Mytilus edulis: one gene and its partner. The main gene of each other region encodes a partner of the protein of the gene in region 2 in a complex. Links are inferred from orthologs where the notes say so. Each region holds a gene or a part of one and is shown on either strand. Other genes may lie near its edges.

Region 1 (11,633 bases), on a different chromosome or scaffold from region 2:
ATAACCAGAATAGGCTAATAAGGCTCCTTCATTGTTCAACAACCTAAAAATAGATCAATTAAAAAAAATCTCTTGTTAAAAAAAAATGAATATAATTACAAGTATCAGCATCAAAATAAAAGTGCATATGCATGTAATATGCAGTCCTTTTACCGGGTAATATCAAAATAAATAGCTATCAAGACATGGACTTTCTATTTAGCCTTAATGTTCTAATTGGGTGAGAGCAACACCTATATCATGTATATATACATACATACTAATCCTGTTCCAGTTTTGACATTTTTATTGACCCTTTTTATAAAACAATACATGATATACATGTAGGAGCATATGGTTTCCTTCAACTTTGTATCTGATTACACCTTAAAACACTTTTTAGAAAATTTGTACTGGTATATACGGTATTATGACCCCTGCGTCAATTTACCATATTAAGGTATTTAGACCTCAAGTTCACTTTACAGAAGGTTCAAAATACCATGTGACACCAGGTCAATTGATCCTGTAAAGTGAGTCAAATTACCAAGATTTAAAAAAATTATAAATCTAATTCATTATATATATATGATAACCCAACTTTGAGATTCCTTGTAGTATAGTTTTTATTGTTATATCACTCTGGTTTCATGGTGAATATAATAATATTGTAACTGATTTAAGAGGTGATCAACAACCATGATATTGACATCAATAACAAAAGATTTGACAGCTTTCATTCACCTTGCACTAATCTTTTAACTTTTATTCACCCTTTACCCCCCTCTTTAGGCTCTTATAAACAAACAAATAATTTTAATTTTATACATTGCATGTTAGTCCGAGATTACTCTGACGTCCAACGGCTGTTTTGCCAGACAAGCTGGGGCCGTGGGACTTGTCTTGCAAAACAGCTGTTGGACATCTGAGTAATCTCGGACTAATAATTTGCATGTATGATCTAGCCTGCTTGCATGTTCTTTTTTTAACCTGTTTAAATGGTTTTTTTCTTCTTCTTTTGTTACAGAAAACCATCCATGTACTGATGTTTACTTTCCAGTGCATGCCTGGTATATGTTTTTTAATAAATTTATGTGAATAATTTTTGTGAAAATATAAATTAACAAAATATTTCTTGTTCAAAGTTGTTTTTGGTCATATATTTTTGTATTTTCAATTTTTACAATTTTTTCTTTGTTTTTAATTTATACAATTTTTTATTTAGTTTTTAAATATTACATTTTTTATTTTTATTTTTTGGTATAAGATAAAAACAAGAGTATCTGTTTATTTCAGATGAGGGTAAGTATCAAGGAGCACGTGTGAGTGCATCCTTAAAGTTTTCTGTAGTAGTGTTTTTGGTAATTTCAGAGGATAGTTTGTGGACAGTCTTTGATGGTTTGACAGAAAAAAGAAAATTTATAGCTGTCTTAATTGCAATGAATTTGTCTGTAGGATTCTTTATTGGTGGATCTTGTAGTAGACTGACTCTGTTGTAATACATTTTGCGATGGAATGGCTATATTTTCATTTACAATTTTGTGGAACATTATAAGCCTTGTTCGTAGTTGGCGTTCTTGTAAGGTTTGCCATTTCATGGTGTCTAGCATCTCAGACACACTGCTGGTGTTGTGATGTCTATTGCACACGTACCTTGCTGCCCATCTTTGTACTTTTTCCAGTGATTTTATATTTTCGTTTGTAAATGTGTCCCATACAGTACAACAGTATTCCAACTTTGGTCTTATGAGTGTTTGGTACGCTCTTTCTTAAATTGTTTGCGATTGGACTTTAAGGTTTCTTCTGATGAAACCTAAGGATTTATTTGCTTTTGCAGCGGTTTGTTGGATGTGGGTGTTCCATTTTAGGTCTGCTGAGATGGTGATACCTAAGTATTTTACATGTTTTACAGATTCTAAGATGTGTCCATACATGTTATAATAAAAGTGGATGGGATTTCTTTTTGTTGTTATATTCATGATGTTACAATTGTCTGGATGGAAAGACATAAGCCAATCTTTTTCCGGATCTCCTGTAGTTGGTGATCGCAATACTGGTATAAAAATTTTGTACCAGTATTGTATTCCAGTATCGGTGCATTACGTTTGCGCGCATTACCATTACATTTGCGCGTAAAAATCATTACGTTTGCGCGCAGCTTTTCATTACAATTGCGCGCATTTATTTGACAGGTAAACTCAGGTAAGCTTAGGCAATAACTCTTATTTATCTATGAATTTATTCAATTATTTTAAGTAAAAGTACCCTTTCCTTTTGACTAAGTCACCTATACTCACCCACGAGGAGGTAGAAGTTGGATACAAGCAGGATAAGTCGGTTGCATTATATTCTATCAATCCGGAAATTTTAATACTCATAGCATACTAATGATTTTCTCCCCCGATTTGCTATTAAAAAAAATTTCAAATGTCCGTTACTTGACAAAACTTTACAATCTAGCTTTCAATAGATTATTTACGAATTTTAAAGAGATCACTATTCGGGGTACTTGATCACCCTGAAAAAATTCGCAATGAAGTTACATGTATGCCTTAAGTTATAACAGAATTTATCATGCACACTTTATATTTTGTCTTAGAATACAATATGAACAATATAAATTATGATTAAAACATCTTTTCAAAGTTAATGAAATTTTATATTATTCATATTTCATCATATACCGTTTTTTACCTGGGTTTACCTGTAAGATAAATGCGCGCAAATGTAATCAAAAGCTGCGCGCAAACGTAAAACATTTTAATCCCCAAATGCGCGCAAACGTAGTGCGCCCTCCAGTATTGTACCAGTATTGTGCTTTTTTTTAAATAAACAATATAGGTAATTAATCTTTTATTAAAGGTGTCACATATATGCATAATGAAATTAACATATGACATGACAATTTTATTAGGAATGATTGTGTTTAGCTGATGATGCCATAGATGGTACACTGTGATTGTCATCAAATAAAGTTTTAAATCTTCTGATGTTTTTTTCTTAACCATTCTGTATCAGCATTTTAACAAACTCTATACTTTCTTCTATGTTTTCTTTCAGCTCTCTCTTTCCAAGATTCATGTAGTATATTTTAGTGAATTTTATATTGACATTAATGCTGTTATAGCTTCTGTATCATCAGCATTGGTATTGTCTATTTCTTCTTCAGATGTGATTTCTGCAACCCCTCCCCCTTCCTATATTGGTATTTAGGTATTCTGTCTCTGTGGACTTTCTCTAACGCTTACTAGATTACAAGCTATTTCAGATAGCATTTGAACAGCTCTCTTACTGTCAGAATGCTGGTCTAGTATTAGTATTTGTACCAGTAGATATACATGTATCTGCTACTAATTGTATTGTCCATGGTTCTGAATCAACTGCTTCAACCCTTAACATTCATGTAGACAAACTAGTTAATTTGATTATAACAAGGTTCCCCTATAAAGCAATTTTTTATAATTAATGAATAATATTGATATCTTTTGTTGTGAAAGATTAATAAGAAAATAAAGACAAACAAATGCATATGATCTTAGTACACAAAAAATGTATACATGTATTAAAATATCTGTCAAAATGTGTGATGGCATACATGTAAATGCTGAATTTACAGTGTTAGAGTCTAATAATTTGCTTGAATTTATTAAATTATTACTCAGATAATAAAAAGCTTTTATTTTATTTTATCTTTATTGAATTAAATAAAATATAGAAATATGATAAAATTATTAGCAATTGTTTAAATAATAATGATGTTATGAGTTAATTTCAATAATCCTTTGTTTATTTGTGCAAGTATAGTAATGACTTTTAACTGGTTGTTAATTGATTTCACAATTATCCTTTATAATCTTTTTGAGTTCATTTAATCTCCCGTTGATCTTCAATATAGTCTAGTCAACAATACAACTACAATACTGGTATATCAGTAATGTACCAGTATTGCTGGTTTTTTTTTATAAAAAGTTACAATACTGGTACAAATTTTTTAGTATTGTGGACAATACTGGTATACCAGTATTGCGATCACCAACTACAGGAGATCCGTAGATTATACTGTCATCTGCAAAGAGTCTGATTTTGCTATGTTGGATGTAATCTGGGAGGTCATTTATGTAAATTAAGAATAGTATTGGTCTTAGCACTGTACCCTGTGGGACTCCTGATGAGACTGGTATTTTTGAAGATGACATGTTTTCTAAAAGTACTGTTTGCGTTCTGTTTGAAAGAAAGGATTCTACCCAGTTAATGATTTGATCTGATAATGATATGCCAAAGTATTTCATTTTGTTTTCATTTATTTTTAGCATACTTTGTATATCATTAAATTCATAAACTTTGATATTAGTTAATATTCTTACAGTGTGCTTTGTACACCACCAGTATTTGCCTGACTCAAAACTTGAGTTAATGCTTTTGGCTTCAACATCTTTCACAAAATAATAGATCACATGATTCGGATCCAAAGCACTTTGTAACATTCTAAATGATTGGCCAATTTATTGAGGTTACGACCTGTGCTGAACTTCCGCAAATTTTGACTGGTACCCTTTGTAGAAATGTGTACAATTGAAAATAAGCTATCGTAGTTAATTATTACAAACCAGTCATCATTGAATTAGCATGGCAGAAAAGAAAGATCGTCTACCCGACGATGCTTCTGAATATTGGCTTTTCCCCTTGGTTGACACATCATTATGTCAAGAGACAAAGCGAAAAATTTTACTTGAATATATTGACACTTATCTTGCGTTTGTTAGTTCAACAATTGTCGACCACATTTGGCAAAAGGAGCAGTTTAATTTGACTGCTGTGACTGAAAAAGGTTACTTTGTTTACTTTTAGATTGCATTTCTGCCTGACTTTGAATCACCAAAAATAAATTGTAACCCTTCTATAAAATTTGCCCAAGATGTGAGGCATTTTCATTATTTTTCAGTCAAGTACTAAGACACAGGAATATCTGAGCTATATTGTCCTGAATGTGCATTAACAGTTAAACATGTGTAATTATATTTGCCACTGGCGATGCAACTCTTTGTAGAAATGTGTACAATTGAAAATAAGCTATCGTTATCGTAGTTAATTATTACAAACCAGTCATTTAATAAGCATGGTAGAAAAGAAAGATTGACTACCCGACAATGCTTCTGAATATTGGCTTTTCCCCTTTGTTGACACATCCTTGGATCCTTGGCTTATGTCAAGAGACAAAGTGAAAATTTTACTTGAATATATTGACACTTATCCTGCTTTTGTTAGTTCAACAATTGTCGACCACATTTGGCAAAAAGAGCAGTTTAATTTGACTGCTGTGACTGAAAAAGGTTACTTTGTTTACTTTTAGATTGCATTTCTGCCTGACTTTGAATCGCCAATAATAAATTGTAACCCTTCTTTATACGACCGCAAAAATTTTAATTTTTTGGTCGTATATTGCTATCACGTTGGCGTCGTCGTCGTCGTCGTCGTCGTCGTCGTCGTCGTCGTCGTCGTCGTCGTCGTCGTCGTCGTCCGAATACTTTTAGTTTTCGCACTCTAACTTTAGTAAAAGTGAATAGAAATCAATGAAATTTTAACACAAGGTTTATGACCACAAAAGGAAGGTTGGGATTGATTTTGGGAGTTTTGGTCCCAACATTTTAGGAATTAGGGGCCAAAAAGGGCCCAAATAAGCATTTTCTTGGTTTTCGCACTATAACTTTAGTTTAAGTGAATAGAAATCTATGAAATTTTGACACAAGTTTTATGACCACAAAAGGAAGGTTGTGATTGATTTTGGGAGTTTTGGTTCCAACAGTTTAGGAATTAAGGGCCAAAATAGGGCCCAAATAAGCATTATTCTTGGTTTTCGCACAATAACTTTAGTATAAGTAAATAGAAATCAATGAAATTTTAACACAAGGTTTATGACCATAAAAGGAAGGTTGGGTTTGATTTTGGGAGTTTTGGTCCTAACAGTTTAGGAATAAGGGGCCCAAAGGGTCCAAAATTGAACTTTGTGTGATTTCATCAAAAATTGAATAATTGGGGTTCTTTGATATGCCGAATCTAACTATGTATGTAGATTCTTAATTTTTGGTCCCGTTTTCAAATTGGTCTACATTAAGGTCCAAAGGGTCCAAAATTAAACTTAGTTTGATTTTAACAAAAATTGAATCCTTGGGGTTCTTTGATATGCTGAATTTAAAAATGTACTTAGATTTTTAATTATTGGCCTAGTTTTCAAGTTGGTCCAAATGGGGGTCCAAAATTAAACTTTGTTTGATTTCATCAAAAATTGAATAAATGGGTTCTTTGATATGCCAAATCTAACTGTGTATGTAGATTCTTAATTTTTGGTCCAGTTTTCAAATTGGTCTACATTAAGGTCCAAAGGGTCCAAAATTAAACTAAGTTTGATTTTAACAAAAATTAAATTCTTGGGCTTATTTGATATGCTTTATCTAAATATGTACTTTGATTTTTGATTATGGGCCCAGTTTTCAAGTTGGTCCAAATCAGGATTCCATATCAAGTATTGTGCAATAGCAAGAAATTTTCAATTGCACAGTATTGCACAATAGCAAGAAATATCTAATTGCACAATATTGTGCAATAGCAATTAATTTTCAATTGGAGTTATCTTTCTTTGTATAGAATAGTAGTTGATAATATATGTTGGAAATTTGCCAGACATGACTATGATGTCATTTTCTATTTTTATTTGCCAATAACTTTATGTAAATAACTTCATTGGAAATTTGCCAATATAAAATGTTGCTGATGAAGCTTTTTTTCCTTATCTTATCTAAAATGTTTTTAGATAATGTATGTTGGACATTTGTCAGACATGACTATGATGTCATTTTCTATTTTAATTTGCCAATAACTTTATGTAAATAACTTCATTGGAAATTTGCCAATATAAAATGTTGCTGATGAAGTTTTTTTTATTGTTTTATACAATAAACAATGTATATTCACTTTTACTACCAACCAATCTTTACCATTCAGTGATAACAAGCACTTTATTTTACATTTTAATATTTTATGATGTATTTAAAAGAGTAGTTATTATTGCAAACTCCATTAGAAATTTGAATTGATATCAGTTTTGGAAAAAGGGAAACGGGGATGTGAAAAAAAGGGGGGGGGGGGTTAAATTTTTCTCATTTCAGATTTCATAAATAAAAAGAAAATTTCTTCAAACATTTTTTTGAGAGGATTAATATTCAACAGCATAGTGAATTGCTAAAAGGCAAAAAAAAACTTTTAAGTTCATTAGACCACATTCATTCTGTGTCAGAAACCTATGCTGTGTCAACCATTTAATTTTAGATTTAAAAAGTTTGAAGAAGAAATCTTTAATTGATTTGTAAAATCTTGACATTTGTTTTGTGTAAAAAAAACTCATGTAATGTCAAAAATTTGATCACAATCCAAATTCAGAGCTGTATCACGCTTGAATGTTTTGTCCATACTTGCCCCAACTGTTCAGGGTTCGACCTCTGCGGTCGTATAAAGCTGCGCCCTGCGGAGCACCTGGTTAAAATTTGCTCAAGATCAGATGTGAAGCATTGTCATTATTGTTCAGTCTTGTACTAAGACACAGGCATGTCTGAGTTATATTGTCCTGAACATGCATTAAACATGTGTAATATTTGCCACTGGACACCAAGGACTACATGTATAGTAAATAACTCTTTTGTTGTTTAGCTAGCTAAGACAACAAAAAGATCCCCAAAATGGTTGAAGAAAGAAAGAAAGGAATTTGCTAAAATTAAAAAGCTTGAGTTGATATTTTTGTTACAAGACAATGAAGTTTAAATTTATAATCATATTTAAACAGGAGATGTGTAACATCTTATCATTATTTCTAGATAATTTACCACCTCACCTGTATGGAAAAACCTGTTATGGTGATAACGTTGAGGATGAATGGCTTATTGTTTACCTACTATTCACATTAACCAAACAGTTTGATTGCTTAGTTGCAAAGTAAGATACCTTCACTTGTATTTTTAAGATAGTCAAAAGTTATAAAGATTCATTATGCACATATTCATGATATTCAAACTTTTTTAGAAAAAAACTGACAACCTAAACTAAAATATATTTTTTTTTTTATATTTGCATTGAATTTGTAATTTCCTACATCATGTAGGTTTCTTCTAGTTAAATAAAATGTTTTTCTCTCTGTCAGACATTTGTCAAGTGTCCTTGACCTCATATTCATGACTCATGATCAGTGATTAATGTTCACTTTTGAAGACTTGTAGTTTTTCTGTTGCTATATATTAAAAGTGAATTATAGTATATATATATATTGATTATTCATATGAGGATGTTTCTTTTGGAGATTCTTGATTTTCTAGAGATGAGTGTAAAACATGTGAAATTTTCTCTCACAGTAATTATATTTTTGTAGTACATCACATATTTCTATTTTAAACAACTATTATGTAGTAGCTAAAAGTAAAAATGATAAACATGTTCAGTTGATTTCCCTTTAGTATTGGAAATACTATTTTGTTACGTCTTATAGAAATTCCTCTTAAAACTTTGTTATAAACAATGCTGTAATATTTGTTCCAGCAGGAACAAATATTCTTTACCATTTATTTCATTAGGAACAAACACTGTTGTGTATTATTTGTTCAGTGGAAATTAAATAATATTCCTGAATATGTTTTCCATTTGAACTTTATCATTGTTTATATTTTGAATGAACTTTTACCGGTATTTGGTGACATCTTTTATCAGTATGTGACTGTCATATGAATAACAAGATGTTACTCAGTATCATGTTTTCTAATTCAGAATTAAGGATAGTGATGAAGAGTTTATGCTGATAGAGGCTGCTGATAATCTTCCTAAATGGCTGGAACCTGATACTGCTGAAAATAGAGTATTTATTTCATTATTTATAGCATATTTTTGTATACATTTTTGTTTAGGGACCAGCTGAGACAAGCCTTTGGGTGCGAGATTTTCTTACTGCATTGAACACATATGTTGAAGACCCATGGTGGCCTTCGACTGTTATCTGCTTTTTGGTTGGGTTGTTGTCTATTTGACACATTCCCCATTTCCATTCTCAATTTTATAGGATTATCTGCTGCTTGTAGTAGAGATTCAAACACAGCTAACATGATAAAAAAGATCAACAACAATAGGTTTTACTTGTTATGAAGATTTTGAGAAAAATAACTAATTATTGGTTCACCTACTAAATATTGTAACAGGGTGATTTGTTTCTCACTTCTATTTGTCTGTTTCAGAGAGCTGTGTAAATCGCCCCTTCTTCGTCACATAGCATTCCATCTCCATTTGTCTGTTCCAGAGAGCTGTGTAAATCGCCCCTTCTTCCTCACATAGCATTCCATCTCCTTTTGTCTGTTTCAGAGAGCTGTGTAAATCACCCCTTCTTCCTCACATAGCATTCCATCTCCATTTGTCTGTTTCAGAGAGCTGTGTAAATCGCCCCTTCTTCCTCACATAGCATTCCATCTCCATTTGTCTGTTTCAGAGAGCTGTGTAAATCGCCCCTTCTTCCTCACATAGCATTCCATCTCCATTTGTCTGTTTCAGAGAGCTGTGTAAATCACCCCTTCTTCCTCACATAGCATTCCATCTTCATTTATCTGTTTCAGAGAGCTGTGTAAATCGCCCCTTCTTCCTCACATAGCATTCCATCTCCATTTGTCTGTTTCAAAGAGCTGTGTAAATCGCCCCTTCTTCCTCACGTAGCATTCCATCTCCATTTGTCTGTTTCAGAGAGCTGTGTAAATCACCCCTTCTTCCTCACATAGCATTCCATCGCCATTTGTCTGTTTCAGAGAGCTGTGTAAATCGCCCTTCTTCCTCACATAGCATTCCATCTCCATTTGTCTGTTTCAGAGAGCTGTGTAAATCGCCCCTTCTTCCTCACATAGCATTCCATCTCCATTTGTCTGTTTCAGAGAGCTGTGTAAATCGCCCCTTCTTCCTCACATAGCATTCCATCTTCATTATATTTTCGATATGTATAGACCAATTTCCCTTTGACAAAATTCCAAAGATGGTTAAAACAAACATAGAACTGTTCAAAAAGAGGGATTGGTGAAACTTTTACAATAACATTTTATTTGGTTATATCTTTGAAATAGGGCAAAGGAAGTATTAATGTTATTAATTAAAAAGAAATGTAGATGAGTTACAGAAAATGTTTTTAGTGTCCTAAATATTATTCTTGGTTTGATCTAATGCAGCTTAATCAGCTGATCACCCTTTAAAATGAAGTAATAAAAAAAGAAAACCAGGTAACAATTAACTGATTTGCAGTGCATAAATTTGTAGGTTCATGAATATGTACATGATGTATGCATACATTATTATTTATCATGTTTATATACAATGTACTTTCTTTACCAGCATACATGTATAAAATGCTAAATTTAAGGAATTGTTTATTTTTTCAGGTTTATATTTTTCAAGGAAACCTGCACATTATTCCATTTCCACAATCCCCTGCACAGATAACCACCTTGCCTAGTGGTGTTCCTGAAATACAATACGCAGTGAAATGTGTCAGAAACTATAACACTGCCACACTGGCTAGCACAGAGATAAATAATGCTGTCAAACAAAGGTTTGATGGGTAAGTTTTAACTGTCCATTCCCATATCCCTGCACAGATAAAACACACTCCCAAGTGAAATGTGTCAGAAACTATTACACTGCTACCCTTGCTAACACTGAGATAAATAATGCTGTCAGACAAAGGTTTGATGGGTAAGTTTTAACGGTCCATTCCCATAATTCCCATAATTTCCTGTACATGTAAAACACACTCCCAAGGGAAATGTGTCAGAAACTACAACACTGCAGTAATGGCTAGCACTGAGTGATTTTCCATCCCACAATTTCATACACAGATAACCATTCCCCTTATTGCTGTACCTGCCCAACACTCCTAAATGAAATGTGTCAGAAACTTATAACACTGCCACACTGGCTAGCACTGAAGTAAATACTGCTTAAGACAAAGGCTTGATGGGTAGGTTTTCACTGTTCATCCCATGATATCTTGGACAGATAATTACATTCCCTAGTGGTATGCCTGCCATACAATACACGGTGAAAAGTGTCATTAAATAGTAATAAATACAATCTTATAAAACATAACTAAAAGTTTTAAATTACTACCCATGGTCCCAATGGGTGTTCATGGTTAAGTATGCAATGTCTTTTGTCACTTTCATTTGAAAATAGTACAGAAAAAGAAAAAGGATATGATCTAAATGCCATTTTTCTCAAAAATGCTTAATGTTTTGTACAATCATTTATACAAAGCTAGTGGCAAAGCTTAATTTAAAGACACTTACAAATACAATGTACAACAAATCCTTGTTATAACACTGATTGTTACTTTGGCCCATGGATTATTATGGTTATATTATAAATTTATGATTCTATTGTATATATGTAGATTATCTGATAGAGTGAAGAAAGAAGTCCATTATGCTCACTGTTACATCCCAGCCAATCTAGCTGTTGTTTTAGATACAAAACCATCGTTAATAGCTGCAGGGGTCAATGCATTCTACTACAGAGATCCCATAGACTTGAAGGTAAATAAATATATTGAAATATACAAAGTTGATGAATATTCCTTCAGCTCATCTTGT
Region 2 (11,969 bases):
ACATAGCTTGTGCTAAACCATTTTTGAAATTTACAATTTTTTTCTTCAAAATTTTTCAGGATAAAGGAAAAAAATGCAAAAAGATTGGGCAACACAATACTAAACAGAAATTGGTACTGAATCTAGGATCTGGAACAAAATCAGATAGTTCAGAATGGCACGGGGGATGGGGGTGGTCTTAACATGGGTTTTTGGGTACAGATGTGCAGCTGGGATTTCAAAAATACCCTTCATTCATAAATGGTAGTCTTGTGAAATCCTGACCCATAAACATATTTCATAGCAAAATCATAACCCATACATATATTCCTCAGTTATCACATATTAATTTTTTTACAGCTTGACTTGATTTTAAACAATAAAACAGCATTTACACAACAATCAAAAGATGAAAGTTATTGACCCTTTACCTTGGTGAAATCCGAACCCATTGATATATTTGATGTGTCAAAAAAGTGACCCCTGAAAAAAGGTTAATAGTTTAGCTCCAAGTCATATTGGTCCTGTTAATCCTGCTCAGATTTTTTTATGAAAAAGATAAGGTATCAAAATAATCAACCATTAGTGGAAAACATGTTGTCTTTATTTTTGTAAATACGTAACATTGAGAAAATGATTATGATACCGGTATTACAAGTTATGAGATAAAGATAATATAAAGTATATAATCAATCATGCTACTGCTGGCTCCTGTGGTGAATACTGTCTTTTACTAACATATATCTTCTGATTGGAAACTGTTATAACATACATATAACTTTCCCAAACAACTGTAAGAAAAAATACATTTTTTACTAAATTAATTTTAAAGCAAACATAAATAAGCATTTTAGTCAATGCATAATTTTGATAGTCTTTTAAATTTCAGCTTGACATATTTTGTAAACACTGTAAAATGAAAATAAAACTTTATAAATTTATAAGCTGATCTCTAGAATGTTGTTGAACTTTACCCCATATTTCATTATATTCCTATAGCAAAACATTTCATAAAACATATGACAATAAACAGCTGCACCTAACACAAATGCTTCAACATTATTGTGAAGATTGAAATTGGATATTAAGAAGGCATATAATCAGAAGCAAACATAATGGCTATGAAGAATTCATCAGAATACCCTTAGATGTACAAATATTGTATTAAATGACATCCAAGTTTTGTAACTCTTGAATAACAAACCAGAAAATCTTTTTAATATCAAAAGGGAGTCTACTTTCAGAAAGAGTTGAGTATGCTAAAATTTGAGCCAAGCATACAAGAGATAGTGCATAGCATTTGAAAAAAAATGCTTTTAATTCATTTGACAGTCAAAATTCCCAAACTCGGAAATGACATATCAGACAAAAAAATAATTGAACATAAGTGTTATATTCAACAATTTAAACAATTCCAGAAAATGTGAAAAGCTTGCAGATGATGGATAACAAACAACAAGTGTTGGCAGTATTTCATAGCACTGGCACTTTATGCCTTTACAACCTACATAATACAGTAAATACATTACTGAGTGTTTGATAAATCTAAACTAGCTTTTAAGCAGTATATACCTGAAATTCTTTTAAAAGTATCTCTCTTGTCTGAAGTAACTTGAATTCTGTTTGCTGTATGAACTAGCTTCAGAACTTTTTCAGCTATAGATTCTGCATTTTGTAAGTCTCCTCCTGACTAAAATTGATAATATAATATACCTTTGAAATGTTGAAATGATTGATTGATAGTTATACATCCACATGCAAATATTTCAAGCATATTCAACTGTCACCACCATCCCCCCCCCCACTCTTCCGTTTCCCCAATTTCATAATAGCAGGTGCACATCACTTCAATATATCTTAATCTTTGATAAAGGAGTAGGTTCGGTAAGGGCCATATTTGGCCATGATTATAAAGTTCAATGTTACAAGACAAAAACTGTTTTAAGTTGGCTTTAAGACATATATGAGAAAGTTAAATGGTGCTATTTTTGTCAAAGTTTAATTCTAAAACGTTGATTTTAATATCTCAAAAAGGTCAAGATAAGAGATTTTCGAGAAATTTGACAATATCGTCTGGATTTCAACCAAATATAGGACCAGGAAACATAGAGTGCATACGTGGACACACTTGATAAGTTGATATTAAAATGAGAAATGTGAAATGTCTGCACAAACATTATTTTAAAAGATCTATGGACTTGACCACCAAAACTTAACCTTGTTCACTGATCCATGAAATGAGGTTGAGGTCAAGTGAAAACTGTCTGACGTGCATGAGGACCTTGCGAGGTACGCACATACTAAATATAGTTATTCTTTTACTTATAATAAGAGAGAATTTAACTTTACAAAATATCTAAACTTTTTTTCAAGTAGTCACTGAACCATTAAAATGAGGTCATGGACAGTGGACATGTGACTGACGGAAACTTTGCAACATGAGGCATCCATATACCAAGTATGAAGCATCCAGATCTTCCACCTACTAAAATATAAAGCTTTTAGCCGCCGCCGCTGGATCACTATCCCTATGTTGAGTTTTCTGCAACAAAAGTTGCAGGATGGACAAAAATGAGGGAAGATTAAAACTTGTACTGTTAAAATTGTTTTCCTAACGAATATGCAATGTATTTTTTTATTCTTTTCTTTAATTAGTAGTTAGAATTTTTTCCAACAAAAGCAAAACAAATATATATGCATGTACCAATACTACAAAAAAACTCACACTTAGAACAGCCCCATCATCAGTTAGCACCAGGTAACCATGAGAGTCATGAATCTTGTCTATTCCTTGTGCAGTGGTCATTTTCTATTTTCTGATCTGAAATAATATGATGTACATGTTTTAATTGTCACTAAACTAGTGGTCATTATACAAAGAGATACTATTCAAGGACTCTGTTTTGTGTGCTACTTCTTACCAAGTTGTAGAAAAATATCAGTTATCAATTTATATTATTGCTAAGACTGTGTCCTTAATTAAGCATGAATAGTATTAGTTTATTATCCTTACTTACTAATATCACTAATTAGATTGGATTACAATTTTTGGTTCATTTATATGTTTTGTAAGTTTATGCCAAATTAAAAAAATAGCCTATGTACCCGTTTTTTTGTGTATTTTTTTCCAATATGCACTGTTAAAGCAGAATGTTCCTCCCATAGACTCTATGTGAGAAAAAAAAATGGTAAAATAAAAATAAGTCCCTACCTACATTTACCTACCCTACTTTTTTCAAAGATGATCATGTAATATAGGAAACACATATATTGTTCTTTTGGCCTTAGTGTGGTTTTCATTTGTGTTGAACTAGTATATATCATTGTTTAGGGGCCAGCTATGGCTTTCTACAGGTACTGCATTTTGTTTTGCTGCATTACATCTAGCTATTTATAGTGGCCTTGGGCTGTTTCAGCTTTTTGATTGTGTTGATGTCTATCTATTGCATACACCGTTTCCATTCTCAGTTCAATTTAATGTAACAATGGGACGTAGAAATATCAGAGTGACCACTAATCTGTAATGGAGATTTTCTGATTTCGCCATCCTTGCTTCAAACACAGAATTCCAAAATGGATTAAGTGTATTAGATATCATTTGCTTAGTTTGAAGAAGACATTCATCAGTGGTCCATTTTTGTATATATGTTTTTTTTCCTGGGTACCGACTACTGACTAGAGCTTTCCAAGACTTCAGAATTATTTTGTCATAAAAATTCTACTCTTAGATTTTCTAAATGAGACTTTTTATGTTGAAAACTGCATTAATTACTGCCAATACCATGAATACTGGTGAAGCGAATTATTAATATCTGTGCACCTATGACTTACGTATGACTTCACATTACTATGTAACCTGTGTAATTGGGGATACAGAAAAATAATGTTGGATTAAGCAGTGTGTCGGAATACTCAGGTTTTTTTCTGAAGGATAGGCTTACTTTGGGACCCTGAAAATGTGACGGTCCAAAATTAGTAAAAACTCTGTTATGAGAGTTCCACAAATGGCTGGTGAGTTACTGCATATTTATTTTAATAAAGGCATGATTTATATGACGAAATACAATCAAGTTTGAACCAGATTGTCAATGCTGCAGAGCAAAATTTGTTTTGACAGATCTAATCTAAATTTGATTTAAACAAAAACAACTTTTATTTGATGATGTAATTTTTTTTATGGGAAATTGGCTAAATATGGTTATAATTGTAGCTATAGGATTCCAGTAATAAATTTACTCATGAACTTATTACATGTATTGATTTTAATATTTTCTGTCCCTTTGGAAGACTAAAACAATAACAAGACCTATTCTATGTCTAATACATTGCAGATATGAGATAATCAAGTTTGGGCGATATCACCAGCCACGCAGACACTGGAGACGCCACTGTATTTGTATAAATGCACGGATTTATTAATCAATACTCCTTATCACAATTCTTGGCTGACACGGCTGCTTGAACTTTTGATGTCATACAACAATCACTTTTCTATTAATTTTGTGGTGTCAGATATTTTGTTTTATGACAACAAAATTTTACAGGAACCTAAGTAAGTAAGTAAGTAAATTTTATTTAGAGTCGGCATATATATACATAATAACAGAGAAAACATGAGCTCTGGTGAGCTCTTGAACCTGTGTGATATCCAGTAATTATAATGGCCACAGGCCCTTGTTTCTATCCATTGGAAGACCCACTATCAACGTATATTTATGTAAATATATTTTGATAGTGGGTCTTCCAATGGATATAAACAAGTGCCTGTGATATGACTATGGCAGTATGGGGGTTCATTACACTGTAATACAATTGAACAAATTTGTACTACAATTAAAATTTATATATTATTTATTTATTGTCAATTGAGTTTATCTTTAAAGTTTTACAATAGTCAACTGATTGCTGAATAAAAGATATATGACTGTTTCTCATAACAATATATTTACTTTTATAAAAAGATGATGTTATAGTTCATTGTTGTTTCAAACAATATAACTTTTATCAACTTAGGGCACCTGTTTGCTGTCTGCTTATTAAACTTCCGGTAGATAATTTATTCGATCACATGATCTGTAGTCTCGTCTTCGGAATCGAAAAATCTTCAACTATTTGTATATTTGATTGTTTTGATTTCGTTACCAGTGTAGTAAGACATCAAGGGATGATTTTAAATGATTGTTTAGCCCTAAATATGTGCAAGCAATCTTCAATTTAGCGAAATCAATCGGAGAACATTGGGTCACATGATCAAAATCGAGATGTTTAAAATGGTGGACGGAGTAAATTTCCGAAAGCGAAAACTCCCCTAGACTGACAAATACGTCTCTAAAAGCATAAACACAAGCGAGTCCTTATCAATAATGTAGTTATCATATTGTAACATGGAAAACTCTTCTAAAGTAGCCAGAAACTACTTCGAATTATCGTCATACCAGGTAATTTATTTGAAAAACAGGCTCTGGCTGCAAATTAAGGTTCATCATAAGGAATTGAAAAATATGGCCGTGTTTACACCTCCAAAATTACTATGAGTACAGACAAACTGGTACATCCAGGAAAATTTTAAGGCATGGCAGGAACTAGATATATAAAAGTTATATGAAGTCTACGTTTCAGAAAATTATAAACTTACCTGGATTTTGATGTTCATTTTTTTCCAGTCTGCAGAAGATAGCAAAATAAACAAACACCCGAGTTTCGTTTGATACGGTCCACTCAGTTACACAGTTTAAACCTGTTAAATCACCTATTGTTTACAGGTGTCTATTGTCCATCTATTGTCCATTTAAATCAATACTACTCACAACATTGATTATATGAGGGGAGCTTCTCAATCGTTTTCACTACTTAGTTAATTTTTGCACCTTCTGCAGGAACGAAAAAAAATGGATAGCAAAATCTAGAAAAGTTTATAATTTTCTGAAACATAAAATGCATTTAAAATTTATATATCTAGTTCCTGCCATCCCTTAAAACTGTTGCAGGTGTATAGGTTAGTCTGTACTCAGAGTAAAATTTGGGGTATAAATACGGCCATTTTAGCCAAAAGGTTATGATGAACCTTAACTAAATAATGAAACAATATTCAAATAATTACCGACACCGACGATACAAACATTTTGGTTTCCAATTTCTTATGCGACTTTTCATACGAATAATCTGACATGGCTCATGTGAATGTGCATCTGGTTGTGCAAAGTGTGTACATAATAATTTAGCTAAAAGTAAATGAAGTATATAGTCCAAATAAATTATTATGACATCTTGAAAGGCTATTATATGTTTTCTTTGCTCCTAACATTGACAGGAAGGTGTCAAAGTAAAAAATTTGAAATAGCTTTCCAAGACATCATAAATATTTGGACTCTTCCCAAAAATATTTCTTTCAGCTATTCTTCATTCCATTTTATTCCGATATAAATCTAGCTTCGGAACCGTAGCTCTGAGGTCCTTCTGATTTGATTTATTTAAAATATATATTTAACATACATGTAGGTGCAAATTGTCAAAAAAATATCATAAGGATCTAAGAGACTAAGATCCATGGTCCTGCAGCTATACATGTATCTAGTCGAAATAATTATGACGTTGTATGATGTCTTGAAAGGCTATTATATTTTCTTCTGTGACGCCTTACGTCACAGGAAGGCGTCAAAGCAAAAATTCAAAATAGCCTTTCAAGACGTCAATGTCTCATAATTATTTGGGCTACAGCTATACCATGACGTCTACAAAGTACTGAGGGTAACATTTTATTTAAAAAAATAACATTAAGGTTTATGTACCCTTCTGTAGCCATTTTTGTACGAATTTTTCAAACCTCAATTGTATCAAAACTAAAGATATAATAAATAATAGAGATAGGCCATTTAGTACATGTTCCAAGGGGAAACTTGATGTAAAGCATTATTGTTTACTGTTTCATTGCATTTGATAGAAAAAGAGGACTTTGTGGCAAATAAATCAAGATTTTTATAGAAAATCCACAGCCTTTAATACAGAGATTTTTGTTATAAAATTTGAAACATAAATTACTCACTTGATTTTCTATGATGTGCTAGTGTTTATTTTTTACAAAAAGTTCTAAGTAACCTGTAAATTCCAAAACACCTCGTGCTAAGTCACTAAAGTCGAGCGCACCCTAAAAGGTGTACTTGATTTTGGCCATATTTATACTTGTCTTAACCAATAACTACATTTATAAACTTGTTTTAAGGAAATCAATGCTAGCACTGCATGCAATAATCCTATATCTATCAGTCATCAAATTGCCAAATATGAGAGTACAAGGACATGAAGGATAAAGGCTGTGGATTTTCTATAAAAATCTTGATTTATTTGCCACAAAGTCCTCTTTTTCTATTAAATGCAATGGAACAGTAAAAAATAATGCTTTGCATCAAGTTTCCCCTTGGAATATGTACAAAATGACCTATCTCTATTATTCATTATATCTGTAGTTTTGATACAATTGAAGTTTGAAAAGTTCGTACAAAAATGGCTACAGAAGGGTACATAAACCTTAAGAAAAATTATACAAGTAAATCAATTACAGAATAAAAATAAGAATGAATGTTTCAGTATGAATAGGGTACAGTTGACATTTATCTATGACATCACAAGTAAAATAAAGCTTGAAATCCATAACTTCATATTTATAACAAGGTTGGAAAAAATAGTCAATACTAGTAGTGAATAGGCCTTAGTTCAGTAAATAAAAGGAAATACTGGTCTATTAAAAATTTGGACAAGACATTGCAATAAAAACTGGTCTTTGCTGGTCAACAAAGGACAGATAGTCAGTGGCTGGAAAGACATGACAGAAAGCTATATGTTGTTAATTTCAATATTGTTATTTTCAGAGAAGACTAAGACATTTAAGATGTCTAGCTTTAAGAAATTTATGTTGGCCAGGACACAAAGGAAAAGACTTGACCAATCTACAGTCCTACTTCACTCTACATATAGACAGAAATGTTCCAGGTACAGTGTTATACCATGGTCTTGAATTAATATAACTTATTGTAACATAAAAGGTTTGGATGGGGAAGTCTTCATTCATGCATTCTTTGAATGTTTCGGCCATTTTTCTCTATTCACTATATTTTTGTCATATTTTTCTCTTTTTTTTAGGACCAGTTTTCTGTAGTTATTACTCATTATTTTAGATTGAGGGGTCACGGTGGTAGATAGGGTTCTGATCCTGAAATCCCAGGCTTAAAAACACGAAATAATGAGGTCACAAATTTTGATAAATTTAAATCCCTACATCCTGAAATTCGAAAAAAAGAATTCCTGAATCCTTAAAGGGTCAATCCCGAAATCCTGAGCTTAAAAACACCTGATCCCGGAGTCCTGATAAAGGTCCTATCCCCACCTTAGCACCTAGATGCTGTAAACCCTATCCAGCCCTCCTAGAGTTTGTGGAATTAACTTGATTAACTACTTATTTTAGTTTCCAACTGAAACAAAAAATGATATAAAACAAAACAATATGTGGGGTATAAATCAAGCAATAGCAATGCAATGACTGAACAGAAGGAGTGAAATCAAGAAAAATAACATGCTTAAGCCTTAAGTAAGAGATTGACTTTCATTATAAAAAAGATAAACAAAAGATATATGAGGTAATAATCCATGACCTAAAAAGCAGTACATGCTTATTATTAATTAGTCTAAAAAAACACAAAAAGCAAAGAAACAGGCTTTTATTGATGTTCTTCATCTTTAAGTCTATGTGAGGCCTTTAACATGAAGCAAAAAAACAACTCACTGCACAGCAAGTAATAGACGGTCCCTAGCACTGGTTTGAGAGAAATTCTTTGCAAAAGATTTCTGTAGACTTCTGCTCTTTGTTTGAGTCAGTCTTTTTGACACATTCCCTGTTTCCATTCTAAATTTTATTGCAACATGTAGCACACTTTCCCATTATTTTGATGTATTCATACAGTGAGTATGCATCTAATTTTGCTAATGGATGAAATGAGACTGTTGTGTTAAATATCAGCCACATTGTGATACCTTTGTGGGGTTTCTTTTCAATTATATTAGAAAGTATTTTGTTATCTGCTATAAACATGATAAAAGTACAAGGCTGACAATAGTTGATTTCAGTTATTTAAAATAACTGAAATCTACTTATTTTTCATAGTACATGTAATTGCATCATAAAATTTTCTTTTTAGCATTTTATACAAGTGAAAAGATACAGGGATCTCTGGTGAGTAACTCGGCAAAATGTTTGTAAGATTATAGCTTATCATTATCAAGAAAACTTGCTGTTGATTTGAAAAAGTACATTGAATTATTATTCATATTATAAGAACAAATGTATATGACAAAATATGTAGTAATTGCTATAACCTGCAAATTAATCCTTCTTAGAGTTGTTGCCCCTAAATGATGATTTCCAATGTATTTTTTGCTAATATTCTTAAGTTATAATAGGTATTAAAGAGAAACAATCCTAATATAAAAGGAATAAAACTTCCTACTAGAACTGGGGACTTTATTGAAACAAAGCTAAATATGTTTGCTGACGATACTCAACTCTTTAATAAAAGCGAGGAGTCTATCGAAGAAACATTTAAAACTTTAAAACTGTACGAAAATGCTTCGGGGGCTAAAATGAATATGGATAAGACTGTTGGCATGTATTTAGGCAAGTGGCGAAATAAAAAACCAAAATTTAACAAAATTAAATGGTCTAAGCGTCCTGTGAAAGCATTAGGGGTACAATGTACTACATGGATACGGGGTGGACTTAGATCAAATTTGGTTAGAAAAAATAAATTAAATAAAATGCTGTATGGAAGTTTGGAAATCACGAGATCTCACATTTACGGGAAAAGTCTTAATTATTAAATCCTTTGTACTGTCCGTCATTGGATACGAAATTGAAATGAGAGGTATCCGGGATATATACGAAAAACAAATAAATAATATTATATGGTCCTTTATATGGGATGGGAAAACAAACCAAGTCGCTAGAACAGTGTGCTGTTTACCGAAAGAAAAAGGGGGGGATAGGAATGATAAACTTGAGGGACTTTATTAAATCAAAACAAGTGAAAAGTATGTACAGTATTGTCAACTCAAAAACACAAAAATGGAATGCAATAGGAAAATACTGGTTAACGTCACAAGACGAAAAATATGATACAGACTTTTTTATATGTTCTTGTTCGGACACTACATGTTTTAAGCAAATACAAATGTCCAAATATTATAAAGAACTTTTAATTTCCTGGACTGACTTACAGAAAATCCAAAAATCGGTCACGAAAGAGGACCTTTTAGAAGAAAATATTTTCGGCAATTGTAAATTGAAGTTCAAGGGACATGCATTATATTATGCAAATTTTGCCTCCAGTGGAATAAAAAAAATTAAAGATATATGGGACTTAAACAATAAATCCTTTAAAACATCCCTTGATATTTTTAACAGTCTTAAAGATAAAAGGAATTGGATTGCACAATATAGCCGCATTAAATCTTCGTTAACACCTCAACAAATTGACGTTTTAAAAACAGACTCTAGTATACATAGTCATTCTGATGGACCTATAAAAATAATAAATTCTTGTCAATTTATAAAAAATGGAGTTGTCGTTGATGCAAAAAAATTATGCCTTAAAGATATTAGATACTTTTATAAGAATAAAACAGCTCCAAATAGTCAGTTGAAGTGGAATTTACATTTTGGGAATGAACTACCATGGGATTACATTTGGGAAACTTTGAATAAGAATTTAGCTAACAGGAAAATTAAACAATTTCAATGGAAGTTACTACATAATATAATTTACACTGAAGAAAAGTTACAAAAAATGAATCGCTCAAACGGGAAGTGTCACTTTTGCAATGAAAAAGAATCACTATTTCATCTTTTTATTTATTGTAAACTGGTGGAAGACGTTTGGCGGGAAATTTTTGAGAAAATAAGGGAATTTTGTTCAAAATTAAATATCCAAAAATTACAAAAATCGGAAACAAGTATAATTTTTGGGGTCATTAATGCAGATGCATCTTATACCCAAATTTTAGATATGGTGCTTTTAATTACGAAATGGGTTATCTGGAAAACTAGAAATATCGCAAAATATCAAAAGAAAGGGATAAGTGAATTGGTGATTTTAAATATGATAAAACATGAAATGCAATTTCTGCTCAAATATTTTAAACCGAATACGAAAATCGAAGCCTTTTCTACTATGTGTGACATTTTTTAAATATAAATATATATTTTGCATGGTCAGGTCAGTTCAATGACCTCTTTGATACTGATTGAATAATAGTATGTACACTGCTCGCAACTCCCTACATGTAATTTCTGTTGTGTATATATTCATGTATATCATCTAATTGTAATAAGACATGTTGTATCAACAGGTTCATATTATAAACAAATATTTACTCACCATATCTTTGATATTAATCCTTATTGGGAATCAAATCATTAATCCATTTTTTTTATGAATGAACTACACATCCCTTTAACAAATCGCACGTGGTAAATGATCACTCGACCAGAAATTTAATGTAATTGAAATTAACATAACAAAAGACTTGATGTACGATAAAATTGAAACTGCTTAATAAATACAGGTAGCCTTTGTGAGAAATAAATGAAGATAAAAAACAAACTTTATTCAAATAATTATATATGGTGAGATGTATAGATATATAGATCGATATTGATTGCAGGTACATATACATTTGTACAAGGATAGATAATATTTATAAAGGTTGATGTTAATAATTTATAGTGGGAGTTTTTTTCTCATTTGCTTTTCCCCGACAAATGAGACTGTAAAAATTGGGGCCCCCTTAGTTGCTTCCCTGGGCAACTGAGGGTTGATGTAACAGGTGATTGTTAATAAAATATGTTTAATATTAAAAAAAAAAAAAAAAAAAAAGAGAAACAGATACTCTTATTTAATTTTTTTTTCATTTGTAAGGTTCATTATTTGGATTTTCTAAAGTAT

What was found.
Region 1: ragulator complex protein LAMTOR4-like (region 2) and ragulator complex protein LAMTOR2-like share a complex: the UniProt entries of both Drosophila melanogaster proteins name them as parts of the ragulator complex. The link is inferred for Mytilus edulis from reciprocal best matches to the Drosophila melanogaster genes Lamtor4 and Lamtor2.

Annotation. Positions count from the first base shown.
Region 1 is NC_092352.1:35,103,212-35,114,844, forward strand, and holds the start of ragulator complex protein LAMTOR2-like, read right to left. Parts: upstream 4,471-11,633; 5' UTR 4,412-4,470; coding exon 4,344-4,411; intron 44-4,343; coding exon 1-43. Other genes in the region: protein ecdysoneless homolog, read left to right, coding at 4,606-4,807, 7,845-7,962, 8,785-8,872, 10,425-10,603, 11,435-11,576. UniProt on the Drosophila melanogaster protein: Regulator of the TOR pathway, a signaling cascade that promotes cell growth in response to growth factors, energy levels, and amino acids. As part of the Ragulator complex, may activate the TOR signaling cascade in response to amino acids.
Region 2 is NC_092346.1:47,802,282-47,814,250, reverse strand, and holds ragulator complex protein LAMTOR4-like, read right to left. Parts: upstream 5,060-11,969; 5' UTR 4,929-5,059; intron 2,801-4,928; 5' UTR 2,786-2,800; coding exon 2,705-2,785; intron 1,670-2,704; coding exon 1,552-1,669; intron 771-1,551; coding exon 673-770; 3' UTR 562-672; downstream 1-561. Other genes in the region: UV radiation resistance-associated protein-like, read left to right, coding at 5,364-5,417, 7,845-7,965, 9,168-9,202. UniProt on the Drosophila melanogaster protein: Regulator of the TOR pathway, a signaling cascade that promotes cell growth in response to growth factors, energy levels, and amino acids. As part of the Ragulator complex, may activate the TOR signaling cascade in response to amino acids.